4 linked regions of the Schizosaccharomyces pombe genome follow. The protein of the gene in region 1 purifies or fractionates together with the protein of each later gene. This does not show direct contact. Each region holds a gene or a part of one and is shown in the gene's direction. Other genes may lie near its edges.

What was found.
Region 2: the proteins of wdr83 (region 1) and pyk1 purify together in Schizosaccharomyces pombe (affinity purification with mass spectrometry, with the first as the bait; one study listed by BioGRID). This does not show direct contact.
Region 3: the proteins of wdr83 (region 1) and ntr2 purify together in Schizosaccharomyces pombe (affinity purification with mass spectrometry; 2 studies listed by BioGRID). This does not show direct contact.
Region 4: the proteins of wdr83 (region 1) and prp19 purify together in Schizosaccharomyces pombe (affinity purification with mass spectrometry; 2 studies listed by BioGRID). This does not show direct contact.

The regions. Positions count from the first base shown.
Region 1 is NC_003423.3:873,473-880,273, forward strand, and holds wdr83 (WD repeat-containing protein), read left to right. Parts: upstream 1-2,766; 5' UTR 2,767-2,877; coding exon 2,878-3,223; exon of another isoform or gene 3,224-3,268; coding exon 3,269-3,305; exon of another isoform or gene 3,306-3,348; coding exon 3,349-3,506; exon of another isoform or gene 3,507-3,546; coding exon 3,547-3,899; 3' UTR 3,900-3,996; downstream 3,997-6,801. Other genes in the region: pwp2 (U3 snoRNP-associated protein Utp1), read right to left, coding at 1-2,450; adl1 (DNA ligase), read left to right, coding at 4,032-6,356; SPOM_SPBC713.07C (polyphosphatase), read right to left, coding at 6,447-6,801.
Region 2 is NC_003424.3:3,842,692-3,850,408, reverse strand, and holds pyk1 (pyruvate kinase), read left to right. Parts: upstream 1-3,733; 5' UTR 3,734-3,866; coding exon 3,867-5,396; 3' UTR 5,397-5,666; downstream 5,667-7,717. Other genes in the region: protein Ppc89, read left to right, coding at 1-2,276; SPOM_SPAC4H3.09 (type II fatty acid synthase subunit), read right to left, coding at 6,387-6,394, 6,475-6,643, 6,832-6,993.
Region 3 is NC_003424.3:3,565,400-3,572,878, reverse strand, and holds ntr2 (spliceosome complex disassembly protein Ntr2), read left to right. Parts: upstream 1-3,333; 5' UTR 3,334-3,339; coding exon 3,340-3,436; exon of another isoform or gene 3,437-3,510; coding exon 3,511-3,587; exon of another isoform or gene 3,588-3,652; coding exon 3,653-3,738; exon of another isoform or gene 3,739-3,786; coding exon 3,787-4,612; 3' UTR 4,613-4,897; downstream 4,898-7,479. Other genes in the region: RNA-binding protein Csx1, read left to right, coding at 534-2,432; SPOM_SPAC17A2.07C (uncharacterized protein), read left to right, coding at 5,021-5,138, 5,241-5,656; WD repeat-containing protein Vps8, read left to right, coding at 6,050-7,479.
Region 4 is NC_003424.3:5,127,727-5,135,842, forward strand, and holds prp19 (Prp19 complex subunit, ubiquitin-protein ligase E4 Prp19), read left to right. Parts: upstream 1-5,496; 5' UTR 5,497-5,515; coding exon 5,516-5,573; exon of another isoform or gene 5,574-5,613; coding exon 5,614-5,718; intron 5,719-6,057; exon of another isoform or gene 6,058-6,203; coding exon 6,204-7,507; 3' UTR 7,508-7,616; downstream 7,617-8,116. Other genes in the region: Rho-type GTPase-activating protein Rga3, read right to left, coding at 1-1,112; RNA polymerase I upstream activation factor complex subunit Rrn5, read right to left, coding at 2,329-3,999; rRNA exonuclease Rrp17, read right to left, coding at 4,514-4,915, 4,963-5,068, 5,109-5,212; srb6 (mediator complex subunit Med22), read right to left, coding at 7,697-8,107. UniProt on the Schizosaccharomyces pombe protein: Probable ubiquitin-protein ligase involved in pre-mRNA splicing. May also function in DNA repair.

The DNA.
Region 1 (6,801 bases):
AAACTGGTTAACTGACTAGCAAACTCAAAATTCTTCCGTCTTAAGTATTCACCATGGTACGTCAGTACAGACTTCATCCATCTCAAATGAAACTCGATATGGGGCGTTTCGGCGGCAAACGAACTTAAATACCCCATGAAGTTAGCCAAGTAAGATACGGGAAGTTCTTGGACTACATGCTCGACATCAGTTATGGGAATTGATTCATAGACTTTTTGAACCACTTTATATTCGTTAAGACGAAGAGCCATTACCAGAGAAATCAAGAACTCTCCTTCCGCACACATAGTAAGAGTGGTGCTTGGTGTGATATCCATATCTAAATTAATAGGATCAAACAAAAAGTCATTATATAAAGAATAAATCATCAGCCCTTCAGTAGTAGCTGCTGCAAACGCTCCTCCGCTTGGAGAAAACTGAACGCCATGACAGATAATTTCAGGGCGTGTTTTTCGAGCAGAAAGATCTCCACGTCTAGCGCCAGGTAACGTACGATCGATTCTGTCTTCCAAATCAGACTCTTCACCTTGGGTATCGATTAACTCGATAGACCCAGCTTCAGTCATCTTTCGACTATTCAGCATTTCTTGTACGCCTTGCAATGATTCGTTTTTAGATAATTGGAATTTTTTAATTAGGACGCCAGTAATTATATCATACAAGCAAACATACTTGCTAGTGCCAGCACTTAGAACGCACGAACCATCAGCAGAATAACAAATAGAGGTAAATGTTTTGTTCAAAGAAGAATTTTCAGCAGTCCGAGCGTCATCAAATCTTCTTCCACCAGAGAGATCTTTTCGACCGTCAATCAAAGATGTTTGTTTTCCTTCCTGAACGTTCCAAAAAGTCAATTGCCCATCAAGTGAGGCTACACAAACCTCTTTTCCGTCTGGATGAAAAGCAAGGGATAGAACATCCGATGGAATTGGCAAAGGCTCAACAATACCACTTCTGCTGAAAATGTCCCAAATGCGTACCGTCTTATCCCAACTTCCACTAGCTAATAAGCTACCGGATGAATTAAAAGAAAGAGATGATACTGGGCCCTCATGACCTGCCAATGTTTCTAATAGCTGACCAGTTTGTACAGACCACATAAATATCTCAAAACTGTCTTGCGAGCCTGCACAAACAATTTCGCCTGATGGATCAACTGCAATGCAAGAAAACTGAACCCGGGATGGAGCCGTAAAAGTTCTGAAATTACGATAACGTATGAGGTCCCAAGCTCGAACTGAACCATCAAGAGAGCTACTAAAGAGTACATTGCCTCGCTTAGAAAAACAAAGGCCAGATACTGCAGATGTATGCTGAGTAAATGTAACGATACAAAAACCAGAATTCATATCCCAAACTTTTATTTTTCCATCGTCAGCACCAGTAATTATTCGCTGACCATCAGAAGAGTACTGCAACGTACTCAACGCATCATAATGTGATTGCTGTTTTAAAACATATGATTCTGACTGCCATTCCCAAACAAGCAATTGTCCAAGTTTACTAGAGCCAATAGCAATCCAATCTCCTGTCGAATTTACAGTTAAAGTATCGATATTAGATTGGGTAATGCTCAATTGGTATAACATTGTAAACGAAGGTAATTCATATATACCAAAAAGCCCGCTAGAGAATCCCACTACCAACAGATTGCTAGTAGGATGAAAGGCTGCGCATCGTAATTTTGAGTTTTGGTTGAAATAATGTCGTTCCTTAATCAACCAAATATGCGTCCGAGTTTTATTTTCCTCTGCCTCTTCGTCAATTACCTCTCCTGCTTGGAATAGAGGCGAGTATTTCCAAACAAATAGGGCGCCATCTTTGCTCACAGTATAAATGGTTTGTTGGTCTTTAGAAAAAAACCCCGATACTACTGTATTTTTATGACCAGTAAGAGCACAGGGATGAAAACCTTCGATAGGGTCGACAGAATGTAAACGAGCGGTCAGATCCTTTGAAGTAGATATAAAAAAGCGAGAGTCGGCTGACCAAGAAATTGAGACGATGTCGTCAAAATGGCCAGTATATTCACGATGCAATACAAAAGGAGCAAATTCCCTTTCCTCTAAAGAATTAGGCGTACGCCAAACTTGTATTAATTTTCCCAAGGAAACCGCAAAAAATTTGCCATTAGGAGAAAACTCAATTGCACCAACTGGTGACTTAAAATTAAAATAATGAAGCACACTTCTTCTCAAAAAATTGCATAGAATGCATCGTCCTTCTTCATCCACTGACAAAAGAAGTGTAGATGTAGGTGACAAAGCTATATGAGATATGTTTTTATGATTTTCAAAAGGAAACGTATAAGACGTGTTATCTTTTAGGTTGTATACGCTTACACGATTTCCAACAGGACTTAAAATAGAAAATCCATCAGGAGTAAAGACTAGATTACCTTTAGAAAAGATTGTTCCTACTAAGTTCGAAAACCCAAATTCAGTTTTCATTTTCTAGTTCAATCCGCACGTTTTATGCGGATTATAACCTAATTAAAAAAAGAAAACAAGTAATTTGCAAAGGAGATTTCCTCAGAGTATTTCTCAGGACCTTTCCAGCAAACTGCGGAATCTTGGTATTTGGATAGTTGTGAAGTTTGTCACACTCAATGAGAGGGCCACGACAAAAAATTTTTGGATACATGTCTTGAGTCTACAGTTTACGATAAAACAGTTTTAATTGGATTTTAATAAAAAAATTTTGAAATTCAGTAGATTACCGTCAATCAAAAAATATTTTTATGCGGTGATTTGTAGAGTTTTCCTTACTTGTCTAAACATAGTATTTGACGGTCATACATTTTACAAGCTCTGTATTACAGGTTGAAGAACTGAAAAAGATCGTGTTCCTAGCATCCTTTTGTAATGCAAAAACAGTATGCGATTGGAAGCTAAAACTAAGCTGAGCTCTAAAGCAAAAGAACCTATTAATGTCGTAAAATATAACAGGACTGGAAAGTACGTCCTTGCTGCTGGTAACGAAAGGGTTGTGCGACTTTGGAATGTAAAGAGCGGCGCATGCATACATGAATATGCTGGACATGGTCATGAAATACTAGATTTGGATTTAGTCTATGACAGTACAAAATTTGCTAGCTGCGGCGGTGACAAATTCATTCAAGTATGGGACGTGAATACTGGAAAGGTAGATAGAAGACTTGGAGGCCATTTGGCTCAAATTAATACAATTCGTTATAACGAGGACTCCTCCATTTTAGCTAGCGGTGAGTGTGATTGTTACGAATAATCCAAAATCTAATTGTTTACAGGTTCGTTCGATTCTAAAGTTCGATTATGGGATTGTCGGTATGGGCTATTAATTCTGTTTTTATTCTACTAACTTATTTAGTTCTAATTCTTTTAGCCCTATTCAGGTCTTAGCAGATGCGAAAGACAGTGTTTCTTCTATCGACATTGCTGAGCATCTTATAGTTACTGGATCAACTGATGGCACTTTAAGAACATATGATATTCGAAAGGGAACATTGAGTTCAGATTACTTTTCTCGTAAGTGATCACTTGTTTCAAAAATTAACAAATTAAATAGATCCCATTACATCAGTCAAGACTTCTAAAAGCGCATCATTTTCTTTGATCTCTTCTTTAAATTCATCTATTCATCTACTTGACCAAGAAACGGGTAAAATCTTGAAAAGTTATATCGGTCTGAAAAACATGGAGTACCGAGTTAGATCTAGCTTTAATCAAAGTGAAACAATTGTTTTCAGCGGAAGTGAGGATGGTAAAGTATATCTATGGGATTTAGAAAATGAAACCCAAATAACATCCACTTCCGTTGTTGGTACTCCAATTGTCACTGATATATCTTGTCATCCTACTATGGATGACTTTATCATAGCTACTGTTCATGGTGATTTGTTCATATACCAGTACAACTGACCACCTCAATTTCCCCAATTGCAATTGTGGTTTGAATAGCTGGAAGCGAATGCTGAAATTTAATTACTAAAGGATTTTATTAAGTTTAATTAAATTAATATCATCTATAATGCAATATTTGTAGTCTATAATATGCCTCCCAAAAAGCGCATGAAAAATGGCTCTTCTTTAAAATCTACGTCTAAAAAGGGTGAGAAAAGCCGAAATATTATTACAATTCAAGATTTGTTTTCAAAACGAGAAGCACAGCTTACAGATACACCAAACAAATTGCTCACCGATCACGATCAAAGCGCCAGCGATTATGCTTATGCATTAAAGCTTCAACAGCTTTTTGATTCTGAGAACCAAGCTACTGCTCCGGAAAAGCTTCCTAAAGATGTAATTATACCTGAAGAAGAGTATCATACTGACACATTTAATGTTGTAAAAGAAAGCAATGATAAACCTAAGGAGAATTTAGTTACAAGCGAAGAATGCAAAGCTTCTTTTTTCTCAACTGATAGCGTGAACAAAGATTCCACAATTGATTACGATGCTTTACAGAAAGATCCTTTGACTTACGTGAAAAGTTGTCGAGCCCGATTTGTTTCAAAAGATACAAAAAGCTTCAGTTACTCATCACTTGCTAACACCTTTTCCTTAATTAGTTCTACCAAATCCAGGATACGCATTGTCACATTATTAACCAATTTCCTTCTCACACTTCTGTATGCAGATCCTGATTCCTTAATTGCAACAGTTTGGTTATGTACCAATTCTATTGCCCCCAACTTTTATGGAAAAAACCTTGGTGTCGGACCTGCAATGTACTCTAAAGCTTTGAAAGAAGTTTGTGGCATTACAGCAAGTGCTTTGAAAAATTTATGGAACAAATATGGCGATCCAGGAGATGTAGCGTTCGAAGCTAAAGTGTCTGTGCGCACGTTAAGCAGACCAGAACCTTTGACTATTAAGAAGGTTTATTCTACTTTACTAAAGATTGCTGACAGTAACGGTAATGGTGCCCAGAACCGTAAATTAGAGTTAACTAAATTTTTATTGATAAGTTCTAATGCTGAGGAGGTTCGATATATAGGGAGGAGTATAATGCAAAATCTAAGAATAGGGGCTGTTCAAAACACCATGTTAGCTTCACTAAGCAAAGCTTTTTTTATTTTTGACAATCAAAACGAAATATTTAATTTTAATTCTGACTCACTTCAACAACAATTTCGTCAAGGAGAAGAGATTGTTAAACAAAGTTTCTTTCAGGTCCCTGATTATAACATTTTGGTTGCAACCCTTCTTCGAGAGGGGATAGAAAACTTAAAAGACAATATGTCTATTCGCCCTGGAATCCCAGTAAAACCTATGCTTGGTTCTATCACAAAGAATTTGCAGCATATGTTAGAAAGATTGACTGATCATAACTTCTCTTGTGAGTTCAAGTACGATGGACAAAGAGCACAAATTCATTGCGATAGACTTGGAAACATTAAGATATTTAGCCGCCATTTGGAGGAAATTACAGGAAGATTTCCGGATGTCATTGAAGTTGCTCAATTAGCATTGAAACATTCATGTGATTTTATTATAGAAGGCGAATTGGTGGCTATTGACAAAAGTAATGGTCAGATACTGGATTTTCAAAAACTTTCAACTAGAGAAAGAAAAAAAGTTACAGTGGCTGATATTACAATAGACGTGTGTGTTTTTGTTTTTGATATTATGTTTTGTGATGGGAAATCTTGCTTACAAATGCCTTTAATTGAAAGAAGAAGAATGTTTTTTGAGCATTTTAATTTAATTCCAAATCGCTTTCAGTTCGTGTCTTCTTTGGAAACAAATGAGGAGCAATCCATTCAAGAATTTTTTAGTCTTGCAATTACTAATAAATGCGAAGGATTAATGGTGAAGGTACTGAATGGAACAAACTCAAAGTTTCCTTCAACGTATGAACCTGATAAAAGAGGTGAGGGATGGATTAAAGTCAAACAGGATTATGATGATGAATTTGAGTCATTGGATCTTGTTCCCATAGGCGCTTGGTACGGTAATGGAAGAAAAGCCGGATGGTTCAGTCCAATTTTGCTTGCTGTTTACAATCCAGACACTGGCGCGTATGAAGCAGTCTGTAAATGCATGTCCGGTTTTAGTGACCAATTTTATAAGGAATTAACACAAAAGTATTCCTTAGAATCTGGCAATAGCAGTCTTAAACCCATATATAATTTTTGCGAAACAGGTAAGGTAACTCCACAAATATACTTTGCCCCTCAAGAAGTTTGGGAAATTAAGGGTGCTCAAATAACATCCTCACCTGCATACAAGGCGGCTTTGGGATTAATTCAGGATGATCGCGGTTTATCAATTCGATTCCCACGCTTCATTAGAGTTCGGTCAGACAAAGGACCAGAGGACGCATCCACGAATTCAATATTGGCTGACATGTATATGAAACAACTTAATACTTGATGTTCGTGATGAACTCAAAATGTCAAGGAACATCGTTGATTGTATATTAAATAAATATTATTAAAGGTATGGCAACAAATATATCAATCATCAGTCCTCAAAATCCGATATTGAACCAATATACGCATGCCAAAGATATGTATAGGCTATCGGACAAATAGATGGCTTCTTCTTTTTAGAAATTCTAAAAGTGTTTTGATCGCCACTCTGTAATTTGAATTGATGAGGATCTTCTGGTTTGTCACAAGTTGCTATTCTTTTTGCTAGACGCATATACTCTGGCACAGTTAAATCAGGCATATTATATGGAGAGTCCTTCGAAGTATATAGCAATTCATAAGAAATTTCGGTATCTTTCGTTGCATCCATGTAATTTGACGTGTTTAAGAAATACTGCTTAAATGAAATAGGAGTAAAAAGTGACGGAACGTATGCCGGTCCCAAA
Region 2 (7,717 bases), on another chromosome or scaffold:
TTGATCGTGAGCTAAATGGTGACAGTTTTCAGGACAATTTAAATTTTCAACCAAGATCTGGTAAGCGGGAGGATTTTGAACCCTTTTTTCAAGATACTCCGAATACCAAAAGCCTTAGTAAACATTTTCACGATTTTACCATGAATGCTTCTTTAGAAACGCTTCCAAGTGTAGAGAAGCCTAGAGGACGAAATATGAATGCATTTGAAGAAACTAGTTGGAATCGCTTTCGTAAGAATGGATCTTTATTTCCTTTATCGTCTCCACCAATTTCTGAACCGGATCTTCGCCCACAGGCACTCAACGAAACTCCTGATTATCGCAATAGATTTCTAGGTGCTTTTAAAAAGCAGGGTGTTTTGGATGATCATGGCAACCTGAAATTAGATGCATCCCCTTCGTTTCTTAAGAAGCCTGCAGAATATACTCCTTTAGCAAATCGTCAAAATCAAAATCTAGCATTTGATTCACCTACAGAGGCTCTGCCTCCCAAACCCACTACCCCATGGCGACGAAACGGCTTTCGCTCAAAGACTACACCAAACCTTAATTCAGGTAAGGAGACTCCTTCTTCTTACAAGGCCTCTGCTAGACTCATGGAGCAACTAGGCCTAAATCACAGTGAGCCAAGTGTCGATTTTAATAACCAAACATCCTACCGTTTGCCTAATCTGACTAATTTGTCTTCTTTAATTCGCGATGATACAATAGATGAAAACGGTAATGCTAAAGAACACGATCGTTTACCCGAGCTAAACACTATTCCCGTTGCTTCCACAGATGAACAACTTTTCAATGCTCACCAGTTGTTGGAGAAAAAATTTGAAATTTTGAAACGAGAGCGTAATGAATGCAACGCAAAAATTGACGAACTCCAAGACAAATTAGAACTTCTTACTGACGCCTATAACAGGGAGAAAAGACGTGCTAGGAGTTTAGAGGAACGAATGTCAAAGGAGATGCTTACAAAACTTGGTGAATCGAACGTTGACGATGGTATGGCTGCTTCTCGCTATGACACAGTCAAGCGAGAAAAAGAACGCTTGTCTGAACATTTGAAATCTCTACAAGAGCAATACGAACATATTCAATCTGTTTATAAGAACGTATTATTAGACCGAGAGAGTTATATTATGCGTCTGGGTAATAAGATCTCTGAGAATAATGAACTTTTGAATGAGAATCGAGTATTAAAAGAGAAACTTCAGACATATTTGGATAAGAAGGAATCTAATGTAACAAGCAAAATAAAGTCGACTGCGGAAAACAGTTCAAAACCCTTGTCCATGAATGAAGCAGACGAAAGGAAAGACGGGCTCAACAACTTATTATTTGAAAACAAATCCGGCGCAAACACTAAAGAAATGAGCAATGGAACGGAAACTGCCAAAGAAAATTGCTCTCCTCAACAAGACTCCACTTCACCGACTTCGGGATACCAAGACTTGGTGAAAGAATTGGCCAAAGAAATTGAAATGAGGAAGTCTCTGGAGCTTAAGCTGAAACTATCGCAATCAAACAAGGCTGGTCCTGTCAAGCATCGAAAGAGAAGACCCAAATCAAAAAGGCGTATTACTGGCAAAGTCGTATTCGATTCGCCGAATGTCGCGTCGGGGGTTGAGTCTGATGAAGGTAGTGAAGAGATATCTCTTGACTCAGAGTACTCTGATATCTTATCCGATGATGGTGATTTTGAAAAGGAGAAACAAGCAACGTTGCCGAGGCGAAGAAGCTCTTCTTCGATGAAAGGAAACAAATTGGCCGAGGATAGCTACCTTAATGAAGCAGGCTTTGATTGGAATCAAGGAACTTTTCATAACGGTTCAGAGTTTGGAACGACTGGAGTACCGGATGAGCCCAATGAAGAAGAATTACCGAAACATGTTCTTAAGCAGGTGGAACACATTATCAATGAAAGTGCAGCTCATGGAGTTGGCAAGTGCAATGCGTGTCATGCTCGTCAAGAAGACTTGATAAGAGGGGAGCAGAAGGTTTCGCATTCGAATTGTTTGTATGCTGATCAGACGTTAAGACCCAGTCAACCGCCCAGCGAGGCTCTTAAGACGGTAGTGAATCAATTAACGAATGAGTTGATGGAATTGAAAAAGCGTTATGAGAAACTTTCTGACCGCTATAATTCCCTTACACCGGGTTATCACAAGCATAAACGTCAAGAGATTAAGAATAAGCTAATTAAGTTGATTGAGTGTATGGAAAGCAAGTCGGATCAGATATATTTGCTCTACGACGTCAACGTTGGTAAGGATTTTAGCTAAAGAGAAGATACCGGCTGGCTCGGTGGATGAGAGGGAAGATAACACGGAGAATGAAAAGAGAAAATTCATTTTCTTGCATCGATAATTATTATTATTATTATTATTATTATTATTATTTTTTTTTTTTTTTGAAACATGAATTAGTGACAATATGATATATTAAAGCACGCATAAAGATGTATGAAATAGAAAAAGTAAAGAAGAAGTTCCAAGAGAGGGTAATATATAAAAAGTAATTACAACAAAACATCCTGTGGTCTATACAGTAGTAATACTGCAACTCAACTAATACACCTACATCTATAAGGTAATACCGTATGTACGAAAGTAACACACTTGTGTTCCATATGGAATATCTTGCTAGTGATTATTCGCTTAATGTTAGAGAAAGTTATTAGCATTTCAATTCATGACACTCGTAGAAAAGTTAACTAAACTAGTCAAATAGACAAATGAAAAGAAATGTTTACGAAAAATTACGCTACTGTCGATCATGCTACTCTGTCGATCAATCAATCAAAAGCCACCGAGAAGGCTGAATAGGATTGTTTTGAGTTATCGTGGATTGCCTTAAATATCAGATCTAACATACTATGCTCCTGACACTTTCCTTTTTCTACCCATCCTTTCTACCTTTTGTGCCTCTGTCCTCTGCCTCTGCCCCCTGTCCTCTCCCCTAGCGCTTCTACCCACTAGCCAGACATATATTCCCAGCCCTGTCTCTTTCTCATCTAGCATAACATACTACTTTGCAGTACGCCGTTTTGCAAGGTAATTACGCTCTACTCTGCAGTAGTTCCTTACTGACCTCTTAAAGAAAGCGCTGCTAAGTTTCGCAAAAGCCGATGATTGGCGGGCAACTCCCTATCTCGGTTGCTACATAATCGTCCAGAATGGCAAGATGTTGCTTAAAACTATGTCAGGTTACGTCGGTTCCTGGTAACGAGATATTGATAGCAAGTCACATTGCAGAACGAGTTCGAAGCTTTTGGAAATTCCTCAGCCGACGGAAGCAGCGAGAGTTAATGTAATGCGTTATTCACGCAGAGGTGCCAAATGTAAACAAACACCGCAAGTTGGATGTTTAGGTGGATTTTTCGCGTCTTTCTCATGCTTATACGGGTAGTAGTAGAGATAGGAGAGTTTGGGACGCGTCAATGTGTGTTGTTGCGCACGGTATGGAATTAGGGAAACAACTGGGGCGACGGGATGTGGAAGGGATTCACGTCGCTCCACCGGCTGGGTGACGGTGGAGAATGGAACGGTAAGTGAGTCAGGTGCATATAACTTAAAAAAATACAGCGATTTGATACTTAGAGTTGTAAGAAAAAGCGGTATGTTTTTAGAATTCCGGGTACGTGTAGGCTTTTTCCGAAAAACGACCGTATGGTTACGATATTGTTCCGAAGTTACATTTCCCGGCCTTTATATACAGGCAATCCCCCGACCAAAAAGGTACCTCTACCAACCACTAAACCCACAACATCAAAGTAGCCTGCAGAAAAAAATTGAAATTGTTCTTTTTTTTCTAAAGCTCTTTATATAATACTCTCCTACATTTATTTTATCATATAATATAGGTTTTGAAAGATGTCCTCTTCTGCTGTCTCTCCTAAGCAATGGGTCGCCGGCCTCAACAGCGAGCTTGATATCCCCGCTGTCAACCGTCGTACCTCCATCATTTGCACCATTGGTCCCAAGTCCAACAACGTTGAGACCTTGTGCAAGCTCCGTGATGCTGGTATGAACATTGTTCGTATGAACTTCTCTCACGGTTCCTACGAATACCACCAATCCGTCATTGACAATGCCCGTAAGGCCTCTGCCACCAACCCTCTCTTCCCCTTGGCCATTGCCTTGGATACTAAGGGACCTGAGATTCGTACTGGTCTCACCGTTGGCGGTACTGACTACCCCATCTCCTCTGGTCACGAGATGATCTTCACCACCGACGATGCTTATGCCGAGAAGTGTAACGACAAGGTCATGTACATTGACTACAAGAACATCACCAAGGTCATTCAACCTGGCCGTATCATCTACGTTGATGATGGTATCCTTTCCTTCACTGTCATCGAGAAGGTTGATGACAAGAATTTGAAGGTCCGTGTCAACAACAACGGTAAGATCTCTTCCAAGAAGGGTGTCAACTTGCCTAAGACTGATGTCGATTTGCCCGCTTTGTCCGAGAAGGACAAGGCCGATCTCCGCTTCGGTGTCAAGAACGGTGTCGACATGATCTTTGCTTCCTTCATCCGTCGTGCTGAGGACGTTATCCACATCCGTGAAGTTTTGGGTGAGGAGGGTAAGAACATCAAGATCATCTGCAAGATCGAGAACCAACAAGGTGTTAACAACTTTGACTCTATCCTTGACGTTACCGACGGTATCATGGTTGCCCGTGGTGACTTGGGTATTGAAATCCCTGCCTCTCAAGTTTTCGTCGCCCAAAAGATGATGATTGCCAAGTGCAACATCGCTGGTAAGCCCGTTGCTTGTGCCACTCAAATGCTTGAGTCCATGACCTACAACCCTCGTCCTACTCGTGCCGAGGTTTCCGATGTTGGTAACGCCGTTCTCGATGGTGCTGACTTGGTCATGCTTTCCGGTGAGACTACCAAGGGTTCTTACCCCGTTGAAGCCGTTACCTACATGGCTGAGACTGCCCGTGTTGCTGAGGCTTCCATCCCTTACGGCAGCCTTTACCAAGAGATGTTCGGCCTCGTCCGTCGTCCTCTTGAGTGTGCTACCGAGACCACTGCTGTCGCTGCCATCGGTGCCTCCATTGAGAGTGATGCCAAGGCCATCGTTGTCTTGTCCACCAGCGGTAACACTGCTCGTCTCTGCTCCAAGTACCGTCCTTCTATCCCCATTGTTATGGTTACTCGTTGCCCTCAAAGAGCTCGTCAATCTCACCTCAACCGTGGTGTCTACCCCGTCATCTACGAGAAGGAGCCTCTTTCTGACTGGCAAAAGGATGTTGACGCTCGTGTTGCCTACGGTTGCCAACAAGCTTACAAGATGAACATCCTCAAGAAGGGTGACAAGATCATTGTCCTTCAAGGTGCCGTTGGTGGTAAGGGTCACACCTCCATCTTCCGTCTTACCGTTGCCGAGTAAGCTGATTATGACGATCCAGTGATTTGCGAAGCCAGGATTTCTTAGGGCTTTGGAATGTAAGCTTCAATTTTCGAGTGTGGGCCGTGCTGGTACAGGTGATTTCTTCTTTTTTTTGTTGAGAGGATTTATAGCATACATGGTTCGCAGAACAGTTGATGTTTCTTTTTTTGTCTTTTTTTTGGCAATTTCAATTTTAATATTAGAAAATAACTAGACTTTTATGACTTTAGCTTATATACCAGAATATCGCATAAGCTGTTTTATAAGAAATTTTTTATGTGCTTTGTAGTATGGCTAGTTTTTGTTGTATAGTAGTGATTGTTGTATTGCATTAGTATATCGGTGTGGAACTTTAATGATTTCAAGTTTGTGTATTTTCATCGGGCGAAAAGTGCCTGATGAAACTAGTTGTGTTTGTCATATTGTCTCTAGTATCTCAGCAATTGGAAAAATAGTCGTACTGAATGCATGCTTATATCGATGAATAAGCAATTTTACCATTAGTTAGCCAAAAAAATTGTTGGTATTATTATGCCGTTTCCTGTCTCTCAAAAATATATGAGAAGCTTAGCTAAGCCAGAGCAATGGGAATTGATATACCACGAATTAAAGGAGTATTTATACACACTTGTATATCAGTGCTCAATTTTCGAACAATTTCATCGTAGTTGCGTGAACAATGCAAATTAAGAGGTTATGCATTCTTGCAACAAGTTGTATTTTACACTACAAGTAATAGGAACGTAGATTCTGAAGAGATAAAATGCAGAACTACATTTAAAAATCAATATTATAAAATGAAGAAGGAAAAAAAATTTGGTCAACAGCCAAAGTATAAGTATATTCAACAATACATGGCAAGAAAATCTTCATTGAAAATACAAAAGATGAGAGAGAATGAGGAATTAATTGTTCTGATTCATAAGCCTACCAATTGGATAAAATCAATATCTATCTAGTCAAGTATACTTGAAAGACCAGATGGATTATTTATTTTGCTGTATAAAGTTAGTACGTAGAAGCAGTAGGAAAAGATATAGGCTAGACGCTACGTTTCAGGAGAAAAAAAAGTTCATACCTTCGGGGTTTTTTGTAATATACGAGATGGCATCCCCGACTGAAGTAATTTCATCTGCATCCTTATCAGGAATTTGAATGCTAAATTCTTCTTCGATAGCCATAACGACCTCGACAGCATCTAAAGAATCAAGACCCAAGTCATTCGCAAATGTTGATGTAGGTGTGACCTGAATGGTTAGAGAGAATGCATAGGGGTAAAGAGAAAAAACAAAGATAACATTAACCTAAAAAATTTTTTCGTAAATTCAAGCCGACGACTTTTACAATGAGTCTTGAAATTGGAAATAACAAAAATGTTAAGATCCAAAATTACACATAGAGTGAAAAAAAACAACTGAATGAATGCAAAACATACCTTTTTAGGGTCCTGAATTTTGTCAAAGGAAGAAACAACTTTAAGGATTCGTTTTTCAGCATCAGGGCGAGCAACGCTATAAAATCGCAAAGGTTGAAATTTGGGAATCACCGGCCTAACTGCGGAAATAAAGCGCAACTGGGAAGAAAAACGGGAAAGCATTTTATTTCTAAACAACTAGCAAAGCACTTAACAATGAATTTGCAATTTCCGCTATTATCTTTTAATAGGTGGTAGATGACAAAGATGATGATGTCCCACAATTGTATTAGAATACGAATGGGTAGGCTAAGAATGAGATAAGGATTCGTTACAACACGTTAACTGGGTATTTGAAATTTGAAATTTAAGAATATTAAATGTTTGAGTATAGTAACTATTTAATTTTACTTTAGTCATCATTTTTTGTAGAATAGTTAAATATTTTTCAACACTCTACTCTCATTGTCTTGGAAAATGACTCATGCTTCTCTAGTTACTCTGTTTCTACCATTTTGACAAGCACGTGTATGGCAGTATATGAAGAAAATAACAATTTGGTATTCCAACTTTTTTTTAATCAAATGATTCATACTAAGTTAGTTAGTCTTTAATGAAAGAGCAACGAAGAGTGAATTAATTACAAAGCAGGGGGAAGGAAATAATAATATTTTCCTCAGTTGAAAAAGAGTATCTATGTAAATTTTGAATGGATTTCCTACCTGCACAAATGCATTTCAAGGAGTTCATACAAGTATTTAAATGCCTAAATAAGAGATGATTTATGAACCATACAAACTTGTTTTACAATAGCTTAAGGACAAAAAAATATTTTTAGTTAGTCACTGTTTACAGTGTATAACCGTAGATATCCGTAATTCTAAAGGTATAAATAAAATCATAAACA
Region 3 (7,479 bases), on another chromosome or scaffold:
CTCATTAAGGATTGTATTTTCGCTTTTTGTCTCATCAACAATCGAATAACTTTGTTTCTGTGTTTTTTTTTTATATTTTCACTTCAACAAGCTTTTTACCGCGAAACCATCTCATTTATTAATTTCCTTTTATTTCAGATCGATTTTGATTTTTATTCTTCCAATCCTCTTTAATACTCGATCTTTGTAACACTTTGTTTTAGTACTTCTTTTATTCCTGAATCTTTTTTTTTTTGCTCTTACCGTTACACTTTACGCAAGCAAAAAAAATTTCTCTTTTTTTTTTTATTAAATTGTTCTTGATTGTTCTATTAGCATTTCTTCATCTCAAGAGTTCTTAGACCTCTCGCTTTTTCGTCCTTGATTTATTTGTCTGTACGTTATAAGCTAAGCTTTATTTTGTTCATCGTTGAAAGATTCTACCACCCATTGTCTTATACTGGTTACGTTTTTTGACTTTTGTGTCTCATTGAAACTTTGTTGTTCATTCATATTACTTACTTTCTTTTACTTTTTTTTGGATATCTATTTAAATGTCTATTGACTGCCTTTATCGCCGTTCTTCATTGTTTGATACTTCCTTCGTCCCTTTGCATTCGTCTATTCCAGCAACCTCGAAAATGTCAGCTTCTAATTCAGATGTCAATGCCCCCATTTCCCCTGTGGTTGATGAGGGCAAATCAGAGTTAGTTTCTCCTACTTTGGAGAGACTTGTGGCTCCTTTCAACTGTTCTCCTAGCTCCACTCCACTTCAAGATGTAGCAGGTGTTGGCTCGAAAATGAGCGACACCTTATGGATGGGTGACCTGGAACCTTGGATGGACGCTACTTTTATTCAACAGCTCTGGGCTTCCCTCAACGAACCTGTCAACGTTAAAGTCATGCGCTCCAAAGCATCCTCTTCGGAAACGCTTATCAGCTATTGCTTCGTTCAGTTTTCCTCTTCTGCAGCTGCTGAGCGTGCTTTGATGAAGTATAATAACACCATGATTCCTGGTGCTCACTGTACCTTCAAGCTTAACTGGGCTACTGGTGGCGGCATTCAACATAACAACTTTGTTTCCCGTGATCCTGAGTTTAGTATCTTCGTTGGCGACCTTCTTCCCACTACCGAGGATTCGGATCTTTTTATGACTTTCCGTTCCATATATCCCTCATGTACCTCAGCCAAGATCATTGTCGATCCCGTTACCGGTCTCAGCAGGAAATATGGCTTTGTTCGCTTTTCAAGTGAGAAAGAACAACAACATGCCTTGATGCATATGCAGGGCTATTTGTGTCAAGGTCGCCCCTTACGCATCTCTGTCGCTTCACCAAAGTCTAGAGCCTCCATCGCCGCCGATTCTGCCCTTGGTATCGTTCCTACTTCTACTTCTAACCGCCAGCCTAATCAAGATCTTTGTAGCATGGATCCTTTGAACACTACGGTGTTTGTCGGTGGCTTGGCTAGCAATTTATCCGAGAAAGATTTGCAAGTTTGCTTTCAGCCCTTTGGAAGAATTTTGAACATCAAGATTCCCTTTGGCAAGGGATGTGGCTTTGTCCAGTACAGTGAAAAATCTGCTGCTGAAAAGGCCATAAACACTATGCAGGGTGCCTTAGTTGGTACTTCTCATATCCGCCTCGCGTGGGGTCATAATACGCTTCCTGTATCTGCCTTGTCTCAATCTCAATCCCAAGTTTCAGATGAGGGCTTCGACAGAACTCTTTCCGCTAACCAAATTTTCGGTATGAATCAATCTGTCATTGGAGCAAACTCTGGCAGCTCAAACTCATCCGGCTCTAGCTTGAAGAGTGCACCTGTTTCACCTCGTACTGCTGCTGCGCAATCTTTGTTGCCAAACTCCGTTGTTTCCTCAATCAATGGCATGAACTCCGTAAATTTTTCAACCATTTCTCCACCTCCTTTGTCTCGTTCAGCCTCCATTTCTCCTACGTTGTCCGGTAGTGGCTCAGGTTTGACACCTCTTTCTTCCCATTTCCCTTCAGCTGCCACTGGCTTGGTAGGCGGACAGGTGTATCCTCAGTCTTCTGTTTTGCAATCCTCAAAAATTAATGGTTCTGCAAAGGTCCAGCCTAGTGTGAAGCTCCCCGAATGGTTGCAGCCTTTTTCCGGCAACAATCATAACTCCTTTGCTACTCAAGATTTATTAACACGTGTTTCCTCCTTAAAGTTGGTTGATGATGAGCAACCTGCTTCTTTGAATGGTTCAGCATTTCAAGCGAGAGCTTCTAGGCCTTGGAACCTAGGAAGGGAGCGTCAGTCTTCACTAATTGATCTCCGTCATGAGTTGGAGCAAAATGAAAACGGTTTGGAGAAATCCGGCTTTGGTTTGAACTTGAGAGGTCGCTTGCCTCCTCGTTCTTATTCTACATTTAATTGTACTGGTCAATACTTGCAACCTTCTCTACGCTTGTCACGCGATTCATAAATTATTTTTATGATGTTTGAAATGCATTACTACTACTACTATTTGTTTCTTCCACTTCTCTTCTTAAGTGAAGGGATTTCCCGAATATTCTTGTTTTATTTCTAATGTTTTTGTTTTAATTTTTTATTTATTTTCGTTTTTCAAAGGCATCCGTATAAGTTTTCGAGGGCTCCTGATCAAGTTAGTTTAATGTCTTAAAGAACTGAAGGGTGCTCTCGTGATTTTTTTTATTTTGTTTTGTTTTTATTCTTGTATGTTAAATCTCTCTTGTGATGTTTTTTATAACTGTTGAATATTATTTGTGCCAAGGATTGTTTTATTTATGATTGTTTTATTTTTCTTTCATTGCTGTTGTTCCTTAATGCACATATGTACATGAAAACTTCCATTGAGGTTTTTCAAACGTCCAAATCTTTTTTTTGGATCGATGAGTTATTTATATGTTTTATTTTAAAATGTCCTTTCCAAAAAATAATTTTGTTATTTTTTCTTCTGATTTTCTAAATAATTAAAAGCATTGTTTTTGTTTTCAACTTATATAATGGAAATTTTCCAGTGACTGTAGTAGATATTGGTAGCTTGTCGATTGTAGCTTTTCAATTAAAAGTTTTAAATCTGAAACTTGAATTTCAAACACATTTCTCTAAAATTAGTCGAAAAAAATGTAAGTCAATTGAACAAATACTTTTCTGATGCTTTGCATTATCCGATGCACCTCTTCAGTATGTGCCATAATATTAAATGCCCAAGTAAAGACATTTATGTTTATCCCTTTCTAATTTTCACAGAACATAAAAACATCATTTTAATTAAGACTTTATATGATTTTTTTTTTACAAAAATAGCTATTCAATATGAAAGATTGGTAGAAATATGTTTGCCTAGAAAGTAGCACCCATTTACCAACATGCGACGATACTTAAAAAAGGCGAAGCCTAAAATCGTGCAAACGAGCGACAATGAGGAAGAAAAGCATGAAGAAAATTTAAACGTTTCTCAATCAAGTAAGAACTTAAAAGCGCAAAAGTGCTTGGGCTCGAATAGAACTTATTATCGCAAGTGTACTAACAATGCTTAGACAAAAATGCAAATAGAAGAAAAACAAAAGCGAAAGAAAAAAATTCGGGAAAATTTAGGGTGAAATATGAGAACGAGGTAAGTTGTTTTTTGCTGGAAAACGTTTTACCAATTCATCTGTTATATTAACAAACATTGATTAGGAAGGAGACGACGATGGGGAGGATTCTCAAATCCCTTTGATTCCAAAGGTAAAAAAGCAAAGCTCTTTTCATTCGGTTGATGATTTGTAAGTAAAATGTTTTAAGTCCAAGTATTAGTTATCTAATTAATAAAGAATATCGCGAAGAATGGATGCTCTCTCGCATGAAAGTGGATACTCCAATGCTTATGTGGATGAGTTAAAGAGAAAAAGTAGGCAGACACCATCAGAATTTACAAAGAAGGAGGAGGATTCCTCGACCAAAGAAAGCGAATTGCAAACAAGATCGTCACCTCCTTTACCCGTTAATACTAGTTTGGAATGGAATATGCTTAATCAAGGCATTCCTGAGGAAGCAATGATTAAGGAGTTAAAGGATCGAGAAGGAAGAAAGAGAAACATTGCCATGATGACGGATAATTACATTTCACTTGAAACAGGGGACCAACTGATGTTGGCACAAAATCATAAAGAAGAGAAATTGCTTCAAACGGAAGACGAAATTCAAGATGAAGGTTACTCTGGATTTGAAAATTACGTGGAGGAGTCAGAAAAACTTCAAGAAATATACCACCATAGCTCGGAAAGTTTACGGACACGATCAATTCAAATGGCCGTCGACCAGAAAAATATGGAGATGGAATTGGACGATGAAGACATAGCAGAGCCCATCCAATCATGGGAACATACTCAAATCAAGAAAGGTGCCTTTGGAGAATCTCCTGCTTTTACAAATGGACTTTCTGTGAAGCTTCCTAATATTCTTACAATGGATGAACAAATTCAGCGGCTAAAAGAAGCAATAGCTTCTGAGAAGCTTCAGCAGGAGGAGCGTTCACAGATTATTAAATCACTTATGGAAGAAGAACTCGAGATTAATGAACAAGAGGAAAAGATTAAACATTCTTTCATTGATTTAGATAAAACTTTGTTGAACAACCTTACCAAAAGCAAATCCTGATTTACTTTGGATTTTTTAATTGATAAAAAAAAAACAAAGAAGAAAGACATGGTCGATAAATTTACTTAACGCTATAACTTAGATTTACATTTCTTACAGAACTCTTATCCTTGTACAGTATTAATTAGCTGTTACAGCCCATCGGTGACTTGTTGAAATAGAAAAACAGTGCCAAGAAGTCACCGGGAATTACAAAAAAATAATGACCCGATATTTATGGAGATAATAGATATTAATTGCTAGAAGATTTCATTAGCTTTATCACATATTAAAGTTATAGCCTCTGAGTATTCAAAACTTTAGTAAGTAGCATTGTCACTTACAATGGATTTTGTGTGTTGAAGAGAATACATTTTACCTACTGCCAAAAAGTGGGTTTACAATAAGACTTGTCATTTTATCGTCTCAATGGCTCTGAAAAGAAGCTATTATGCGTCAAAAGATGATTATTCGACGAAAAGAATCCTCGAAATTATCGAAAGGCCATTGAAGAAGCTTACAATAGAGGATACTTCAGAATATGATGGTATGTATACTATCGATTAACCTTTTGAATAAATTTAAAAGGGAAAGCGAATTCTCTTACAATATCCTTTATTCCATGTCAATATATTAACAGTCGGTGCAGATTCTGATATTGAAATGCCAACCTGCAAGCGTGTAGCTTACTACAAAAATGAGTACACAATTGTTGTAGAAGACTTGGATGCTGAACTGGAAGAAGATGACAGCATAAATAAGCCTACAGAAGAGGCTGACGAAGCTCCACGGACACAACTTTCTGTGATCTCTCCTTTGGAAAAGAAATTGAAACGGGATTTTCTATTTTTGCTCTTGAATTCGAATCGGCAGCCAGGAAAATCATCTGGCAAGTCTTCAATTCCTTCTCCTGATGATTTTAAGCTATCGGTTAAGTACTCTTCTTCATCCGAAGATCTTGGTGCAGTCACCATCGAATCTCATCTTAATGTTTCCAGTGATGCTTCAATAAAGTATAAATCCAGCGGAACTAGTCAGTCTGATTTACTAATGGAAATTGGATGATTTATGCTCAATGACTGCATGCTGTTTTCATGATATATTATACAGTATTTGTTCACTTTGATTTTGAAAAATCGGAATTTTTTTGAATATGTTGACTGATAATTTAAAATAATTTTAAATATTCCTAACAACTCTGTTTTTCTCTACATTTTTCAAAGCACCTGTTTCTGTTGACACTCATTTAGTGCACATTAACGCTGAACGCTAAGGTTCTTGTCTTTTTCTATGACCTCTGTCAACCGTTACATTAGACAACGGATTCCCTAATGAATTGAGCTTTATCATTAGATACTTTTCTAGACAGTAGAAAATACTGTTTTTTGAGTAAATGCTGAAGAAGCTTTAACTCTTAACAATTGATTCCAATTCACATTCACATTGAGTCTCGCAATCATGCAATCCAAGTATGGTAGATCTTCCTTAAAAATAAAAAATGGTGATGATACTCGGACACTAAGAGCTCTTTCCTTTTCCAAGGACTCCGTTAATAGCTCGTCTTTTGACAATGAAGCCGCAAGCACCACCCTTGGAATTTCAACTGCTATCCATGCTTCCAATCGTCCTTTTAGGCAAGATGAATATTCATGGAATGATTGTTGGATGCGCTGGGGACAGTTACGCAGGGTTTCTTCCCAATTGAGAGAACTCAGATTTACCATGAATGATCAGCCTGCAACTGTCACGTCTATCGCTTATCAAGGTACGTTGTTAGTAGCTGGAACATCCTCTGGACACGTATTGTTGAATGATTGGCGAACGAATGACTTTCAAATCCTCAAGCCTGGTTTATCTTCTAATGAATCCGTTACTCTACCTGTCACTTCTTTAGCGATTTCGAATTCTAAAAGAATTGTATGCCAAGGACATGCTGGTGGCATTATTTTTGTTTGGGATGTTAGCCGAAAGCCTCCCCTACAGTTGTTTACAATTAATCAACATTCGGAAGATTCTGTGTTGACACACCTCGTATTTAATGGTAATTCTGATGATGTTTTACTTTCTACCGATCATCTCGGTAAAATTGCTGTTCACGAGTTTTACAATTTGGTTATTAATAAACATTGCACTTCCTGGAATCTAGATATGTCAAAATCAAATAGCTTAAATTTAGACTCTATTATTGTCGATACTTCCAGCATATCTTTTGAAGAACTTCACATTACAGGTGTGAAGCATTTTTCTTTCGTTGTACTCCAATCTTTACAATCGATTCAAATTGTGACTCTTTTTCCTAAAACTACTCTTATTTATGAATTCAAATATCCCGCCGGAATTGTTTCTTCTGCTTGTCACTCATTTTCCTCAAGTATAGTTCATAAAAACGGTGAGAATACCAAGCTGCATGCATTTTTTGCTACAGCATATAACAACAACCTTAGGTTGTATTCGGTTACTTTTCACAAGGGATACATGTCATTACAACTTATGGATAGAAAAAAATTTGCCAAAGCAATTTGGAAGCTCTGGTGGTTTCCTTCTAGTAGCATTATAATAATTTTATTCGATGATATGGAGTTAGCTTTTGTTAATAGCATGTCTTTGGACATCATTGGCACTTCTACCATATTGGATAAATCTCTTTTAAGGTGGGATTGGTATTCAAACTCATTAGCTGCAATTGGTGTTTCACAAACCGTTTTTCCCTTCATCTCCTCTAGTTTATGCATTTCACCTCGATATATGTTTGTTGTCAATTCTGAAACCGTCTCAGTTGGATCATTTTTAATGGTTTCTGAGCAATTACAAATGCTTTCAGAACGTTATGGATTTTTTGATTCAATTAAATTTGGGAGTTATTGTGTTTCAAATTTAAGTATTTTCCC
Region 4 (8,116 bases), on another chromosome or scaffold:
GAGCGGGTTCTCGGTGAATGCGTATCACTCGACCTGTAAGAGGGAGAAAAAGGCCGAAAGGGAGAGGTGGCATTGTGAAGAGAACGCATATGTCCATTCATGACAATTGGCTCTGCTCGGTCAGTCAATGACATGGTTTTATAAGGAGAAGCAGAGCCAGCAAAGTCGTCCAGGGCTTCCTCATTAATTGTGGGTTTTAAGCTGTCCGAGGAAGAGCTATCGTTAACAGGAGTAAAAGATTGTTTGTGAAACGTATGGAATCGATTCTTCCAAGTATTTTTGCTTAACGGAAATGTGGCTGTAGGAGACTCAATTTGTTGCTGCTTGTTAACTTTTTGTAACGGAGATATAGAAGGTGAAATAGGAAAGAAAGAATCGTCATACTTCATCGGCGATTCAAAACTCGTAAACGAGGAAAAACTTCGATTTTTGGCACTAGGCAGCAGCGAATCTGCAGAATTAGACGCAAGATTACTATCCTGTCCATCGTTCGGCACATTACCCCCTTCTGCCTGACTCATGTTAGTCGGTGTTTCGCTAACTAAGCGGTCTCTGCTTCCACCAAAAGGTGATAATGGTGGCTTTTGAGGAGACATAATTTCAATGCTTAAAGACTTATTAGATTCCACTGAAGACTTTGTCTCTGTGGGCTTAATCGTGACATCAACCTCAAAATTGTGATAATCAGCGCTCTCGTCTGAAGACCTGGAAGGGTGACGGACTTGTTTACAATCATTACAAAATATAGTCCTATTATCTCTTTTAAAGTTAGAGTCAATTATTTGCTTTCGGCAATCATGGCAACGAAAACACTCTCTGTGATAGGAGTCGTAGCCTGACATTAGGGCATAGTCCTTGATCCTCATACGACACGCTGTACAGGTATGGGCGCAAGAGCTACACACCGGTCGTCCATCAGAGGTTTGCACCAGCATTTGATCACTGTGCTCCAATCCTTTATCGCACTTCGTACAGCAGAAGCAATCCTTATGCCACATATGACCCCCAAACGAAATAGGTGTCTCTCTACGTTGAAATGCCTGTCCGCAGCGAAAGCATACTGTGCTTCCCTTGCTTGATGGAGATTTGGAAATACTTTTTCGAAATATCATCTTATCGTATATATGCTCTTCTTATTTCCTGCTAAACGTTATGAACTTCAATCTAGCGTCATGAATTTGGCTTTGTTGATTTTTATTTTCACAACGATTCCTTTGGGTACCTATTTTCATTCCTCAGCTTCCCATCAAGTAAATGAAAATATTCCCAATTTTATGATTGAAGTTCGAAACAATTGGTAAATGGCTAAGGAATAATTATTACTGCAGTTGTTGGCATCATTGCCCAGTGGAGCGGTGAGAACGGCAGTAGCGAGTCGTTCACTCTAATCCCTTAAAATTTGCATGCGTCGTACACATGGCACTATGGTCTTTGGCTTGCCTTGCCCTAGCCTAGCGAAACACTATGGAAATTATCGCCGTGTTCTACGATATGGTGCGTAAAATTGCCAAAAGTCACATGGTTTATTACGGGAGTTTAGACGAAACGGGTGTTATGAATAGCTATTAAATACGATTATAATATTACAGATAATTAATTTTAATGGGTTTGGCAGCGTTTCCGCTCTCTAGGCTTTTCTTTCCACTCAAAAATGGTGATATTTGTGAAAAGGGAAATTGCCGAAATTAGAAGGAAAAAGGAAAATGAACTGTTTTTCTGGCTTAAATAGCTTTACCTTTAGAAAAAACCCGCTAAAAAATGGTTAAAGATATATACATTCCTGATCAAAAAACACAGAGGACAAAAAAAAAGAAAAAATTTCGGTAGCAACAGGAGTAAACAGAAGGAGAGATGCTTTCTAGAGAAAAAAATTTTGTAGACGTTTGTAGCGTGAACGGTCGGATCGTCAAATAAAGGGACAAGAGAAAATGCTCGTTTCCAAAAAGTGTAGAATTTATAAAATGTGTATCTCAAATAGCGGGGTCGCTATAATTGATTAAGTAACTATTGCTTTTAAGAAGGAAGTAAAGGCTCCTAAAAAAAATTTTTATAGTTGTGGTGCGAATATTGGGACAATTATACGGAAGAAAGCAATCAGTTTTTAACAAAAAAAGTTTCAGAATATTGTGAACACTGGGACTCATCATTATAAATGGCAATAACTGATTGCTATAAAGAGGAAGTATTAAATTTTCTTTCTAGGAAAAAACAAACTTGGCAGAAAATGACGATAAAAAGAAAGGATTGCTATCCAACACAGAGGCAGCGCTAAAAAACAATTTATGTTTTTGTAAAGGCTTCAAGACTGTAGTTCGAAAATGAAGACATCTATTTTAAAGGGAGTGACAACTCCCAAGAAGAGACAGGTTTTGCAAGTTTCCTTTCAGGATCTTCTGTACTATTTGGAAGATTAGACAAATCATAGGATATTAACCCTACATATCCGCTTTCAAGTTCAGATACGACTTCAGCTGCACCCGGGGCATGGGAAACAACTGGATCCTTGTAATAATAACATATAGGTTGAACTTCATCATCACTATCGGAATGTTCGTCAATGTTGTGCAAGCTCTTGGAAGTTATTTTAAGAGTCGTAAACACGTCGGAACCTTTTAACTTGTCTTTCATTCGCTTTTGAGCCAGCAAATTACTAAGTGGTATAGTTTCAAAAAGAGCGTCCTCTGTCGACATCTCATCGGTTAAATGCAGCACATATTTCCAAACAAAGCTTTCGTAGTTTTTGGATTGAATCATGTCGTAGGCTTCGACGCTGTCATCAATTTCCACAAGACTTTCTTCTGCGACACTTTCATCCATGAACATTTGAGCATTATCAGGATACTCAGCCTGATTAACAGATTTCTTAAAACCATTGATGCTAGTCTCATCGGCGGGTACAGAATCTACCTTGCGCTTTACATCATGTTCTCCAAGGTTACCATCGCTTTCATCTGTCGAATGTTCCTTAGAATCAAAAAACATGGTGTTTTCGTTATTTTTTGTCTTCCGTGCTCTGACTCGTCCTAATTTCAGTTTTGATTGTCTTTCATCAGATTCCATTATGTGTATATAATTTTGAAATTTGAGACGTTTGTTTCTTTTGTAAACATTCATCTTTTGTCTAGTGGGTAAATACTTCCAAAATCCGGGTATATTGAATCGGTGAAATCGTAAAAATTTGCCTGACAGAACAACGTCTCTATTCTTGATAATAGGTTTTCTATGAAAGGCATTGTTAGCCTCTAGTTTCCTAAACCTAGACTCCGCCAAAAATATAGATGTTCCGATTAATTCCTTCAACTTGCTTTTAATGATTTGTAATAAAAACTCCGTAGCGCCAGCAGAAAGTGGATTGCTTGGAAAAGGCGCTTGTCGATCGAAATGATAAAACCGTTCAGAAATCTTTCTCATCTCATTTGTATCAAATAAATCCTCATTTGAGGTTTTGTTTTTGACACTTTGCGCATTATAGTGTGAAGTTTCAACCCCTGAGATATTCGAACCCTCAAGAAGTCTTTCCGCAATTTTTTCTTCCCAATCAATCCAATTCTGACTCATTTCCATTGCAATAGGTATATCTTCATATTTCAACAAACATTGACTGCGCACGGATGCGTCTACGTGATTACGAAGCCAACGTAGCTCATTCTCTAAGGCATTTATGTAACGCTCGATCTGCACAGCGCTTTTAGAAGGAATGGAGTAAGCTATCAAATCTAAATCTCTTTTCCCATTTCGAGCAACCGCTTGAAAAAACAGTTCTTTTTCTTCTGCACTCCAGTAAGTTCCATCCACACAAGAGCCACTAAGAACGCCCCATTGTTCTTCTTCCAAATCAAAGTCACGCTTATTTTCAGTCTCAACTTCGTATTGTTGAAGGACGTCTAGGTATCGTTCATCATGAGTCATGTACAATTGCTCACTTGAGCCAATGATAGATGCAGTGCTTAAAGGCGTTGACCCTTCACTCTCATTTAATCCGTTTATTGAAGAAGACATGTTATTATTGAGAACATGATCAACGCTAATGAAATAAAAGCTGTTGCAGTCTTCTTTTTAATATTTTTTTGTTTACCACATTACCAGACGTGGTTTGTGTTCTGACAAAGATCAAACTCGGTATTCTAGTGAATTTCGCTAATATACTAAAATCCAAAGGAATATATAAATGTAGAGTATCTCTAAAATTTACGGGTTTTAAACATAATAAAAAAATATAAATCGTGCTAAAATCTAGCTTACCGCTTATTGAGTACAAATTTTTTGCGCATGTACAAACACCTTAATCAAAACTGTGAACAAAAAATTGAAAAAGGCTGAAATGCATATATCAGACCAAGAAAAACTCCGTATATGTAATGATCTCTTGTAAAGTAGTTTGTTAACTTCCAAAAATTCTCAACCTGAAAAACGAATGGACAATTGAATTCAAATATCATTTTATACCAACCATATTCATAAATATAAAAAAAGGGCAAGATGCGTCAAACAACGTGTGCTTGAAGTTCCTAATTTAACGTCTTATTTTCTTCTTTAAACGACGTATTTTTTCTTTTCTTCTGTCCTGTGTACGTTCAAATTTGCTCTCATACCGAAATTTCTTTTTGGCGGCATTTTTAGGCTTGTGGGGACGCAAAGGAACATCTGGTGGAGGAGAAATACGAGGCGTGACAAAACCTTCTTTAGGATAAGCAATTTCTTCATCATCATCGTCCTCTACAATTTCTACCGTAACATGCTTATCATCTTCGTCATACTCAGTAGTTTTAGGCTCCATTGATGACTCTTCCTCGCTGTCAGATTTAGATGAGGAATCTTCTTGCTGTGAAGATTCTTCATCATTTTCTAGCGAGCTATTCAACTCTTTAGAGAATGCTAATCGCTCAGCCAGTTCTCTTTTGCGCTGTTCTCTGAGCTGAATAGTGTTAGTGATATACTCAAGATAGTATTAGAAAAACTTACAGATTTCCTCAACGCTAAACGTTCTTCGCGTTTTTGCTGCTCCAATTGAACTTGAGCATGCTTTCGTCGTTCAACTTTGCGTTTATGAAATCCAGTTAAATACTCTCTGTAACAAGTTAGTAGCAATCCCTTTATGATATCCATACTTTCGCTTCTCTTTATCAAAGACGATCTCCTCCAATCTTTGCTTCTTCCCTTTCTTCCTGCTGTAAATCTCACCTCCACGGGTTAGTAGAGATGTATTATCCATGATGCAACAGTTCGTGAGTAGCTAGAAGAGAGGGACAATTTATGGGAATCTGTAGTGATTTTAAGTAAATTATCTCCAATTCTATCCAGTCTCGTAATGGTCCAGTAGATTTATGAAGACGAGAGGTACTGAAACCCTACTATGCCTTGTACGTACATTTGCACTACTAACTAGAAAATTATTTGCAAAATGCATCGCATTTGCCTTATATTATATACGGATATTGGTATAGTGCAGTAAACGATTAGTTGGCTATGCATTGCTTTCCTCTAGCTATTACACACAGAAACCAACGTGTGCCGAATGTTTTGCTCAATCAGTGGAGAAACGCCAAAAGAACCGGTGATTTCTCGTGTAAGTGGTATGTTTGTACAATAATTTCCCTGTCTGACTGAATGTAGGAAATGTTTACGAGAAGCGCTTGATTGAACAAGTTATTCGTGAAACGTCTAAAGACCCTGTTACTCAACAGGAATGCACGTTGGAGGACTTGGTTCCTGTAAAGGGTAAGATTTCCTTCTTTATTATTGAATGGTTAAGAATTTCAAGTAGCACTTATTTTTTTATACGTGGAGTACTGAATATTCTGAAATTGGTTTGGAAAGTAAAACCCTGCAATATTGGTTGAAGAACTCGTTTATTTTCTTTTTTTTGTTGATAATGTATTTTATTGCATGATTGATTTGTACTCGAAATTTTTTAATTTTACAGCTTTATATTTCTCCTTAAAAAGTGGACTATTTAGTGCATGTCAATATCTCGGGGCAGAAATTAGGAAGGTTTTTAGAGAATTATAGAACAACCTTGTCGGATTTATCAAAACAAATCTTTATCAAAATTAATGTGGAGTTGTTGAGGAAAATGTATTAATACTTTAGATTTTTTTTGGTTTTTGCTCTCCAATGCGATTTATATTTACTATATTTTGATTGTACTGACCATTCACATATAAAGCGAATCAAATCGAAGATAATTGCTAACCTTTAAACAGTACCTGATTTTGTTAGACCTCGACCTCCTTCTGCCACTTCATTGCCTGCATTGCTGTCTCTCTTTCAAGAAGAATGGGATTCTGTCGCGCTTGAGCAATTTGAACTTAGAAGAAATCTTACAGAGACGAAGCAGGAGTTATCAACGGCATTGTATTCGCTAGATGCTGCGTTAAGAGTTATATCTCGGCTTACCAAAGAAAGAGACGAAGCTAGAGAAGCATTGGCGAAATTTTCCGATAACATAGGCACTGTTTCCTCGAAAACTATTGAAGTACAAGAGGTAGAGATGGGCGAAAGTGATGACCAGCTTAAAACTAGCTTACGCTCTACGGTGGAAAAAACATTTCAAGAACTTTCTTCCAAAAGGAAACGTACAAAGTTACAACCTAAATGGGCGACTGACGATGCTGTGAGTCAGCTCTTGCAAGCTACTCCTTCTACTATCTTAGAAAATTTGGAAACAGAAAGCACTACGTCTTTCTTCCCGTCCCCTGAAAATTCTTCTTTTGTATTATGTCTTCATAAGGATGAACTTTTATGTCTAGATATCCAATCCAACAGTACTCTCAAAATTTTTGAAGGATCAGCTTTAGCGTGTTGTTGGTTGACTTCTTCCAAGATTGCTGTCGCTACTGCTGATGCCATTTCAATTTTTGAATTTCCTGTTTCCTCATCTGGTTTACAAAGTGTGGGTGAACCTACTTCGTCCATTCCTATAGACGAAAAGGTGAACTTCCTTCAAGCTCATCCAAGTGGGGAATATTTATTAGCAGCATCAAACGAAAAGTGTTATATTTTCTCCCTGAAATCCCAGGTTTATAATATCACCGTTGCTCAACACATTACATCTCTTGCTGTACATCCGGACGGTAACCTCTTTGTCGCTGGGTTAGAGAATGGCGAGTTACGCTTTTTTGAGACTTCCTCGGGAAATGAGCTTACAAAATTTGGACCACATTCAAGTCCAGTTAAAACATTACAATTTGGTGAAAACGGTTATTGGCTTGTAGTAACAACTAATGATGACTCTGACATTTTCATTTGGGACTTAAGAAAATCTGAGCTTGTTCAAAAAATACCCCTACAAACCAAAGTCGCAGCAGTGTCATTAGATATTACTAGTCAACTTTTGGTAAGTTCGGATGGGGAGACTCTCTATGTACATATTTATGTCAAATCTTCAAAGTCTTGGAGATGTATGAGTCAAACCCATGTTTCCTCTATTTCTAATTTGGTTTGGTTAAATGAGTTACACCAGTTGTTGTTTAGTACTTCAAATGGAGCCATTCTCCGGTTGGGTTAACCCAATTTTTAATCCTTTAATTATGTGCTCCTCCATTAGGCTTTTCGTATTTAGTAAGATTTTGGCTCTTTAACTTAAGTGATTTCCTTCATAATGAAATATTTAGGCAAACTATTATTTTTCAGATAGATGTATCATTAAATTTTGACATTTGGTTTAATTGGCAAAAAATAATTTATGTGAGTTAACTCAAGTGTCAGAAACAGTGGGAGCCTCAGTTGTTTCTGATGCTTCTGGTTCAATTAAACTGACTTCCAGTAAATGATTTTGTAGTTTAGTAAGAGTTCTTTTAACTTTCTCAAGATCAGGCTCGCTGTAATCGACAGTCGGAAAAGACGTGGAAAGAGAATTAGTGAGCCAATATGATTTAATTTGTCGAGAAACATCCAGTAACTGTTCTACCGCGCGAACCATGGACACAGTATGGCATTCAATCTGGTAAACCTCTGGTGCTACCGTATATTTATCTTTGCCTTCATTTATAGCAATATCCAGTATGTCTTGAAACCTTGACAAAATAGTTAGTGTAGCATTGTCAATAGACGAATTTAAAGTATTAGTTCGCTGAACTAGCTGCCGTTGGAAACTGTCTGAAGACATACTAGCTTT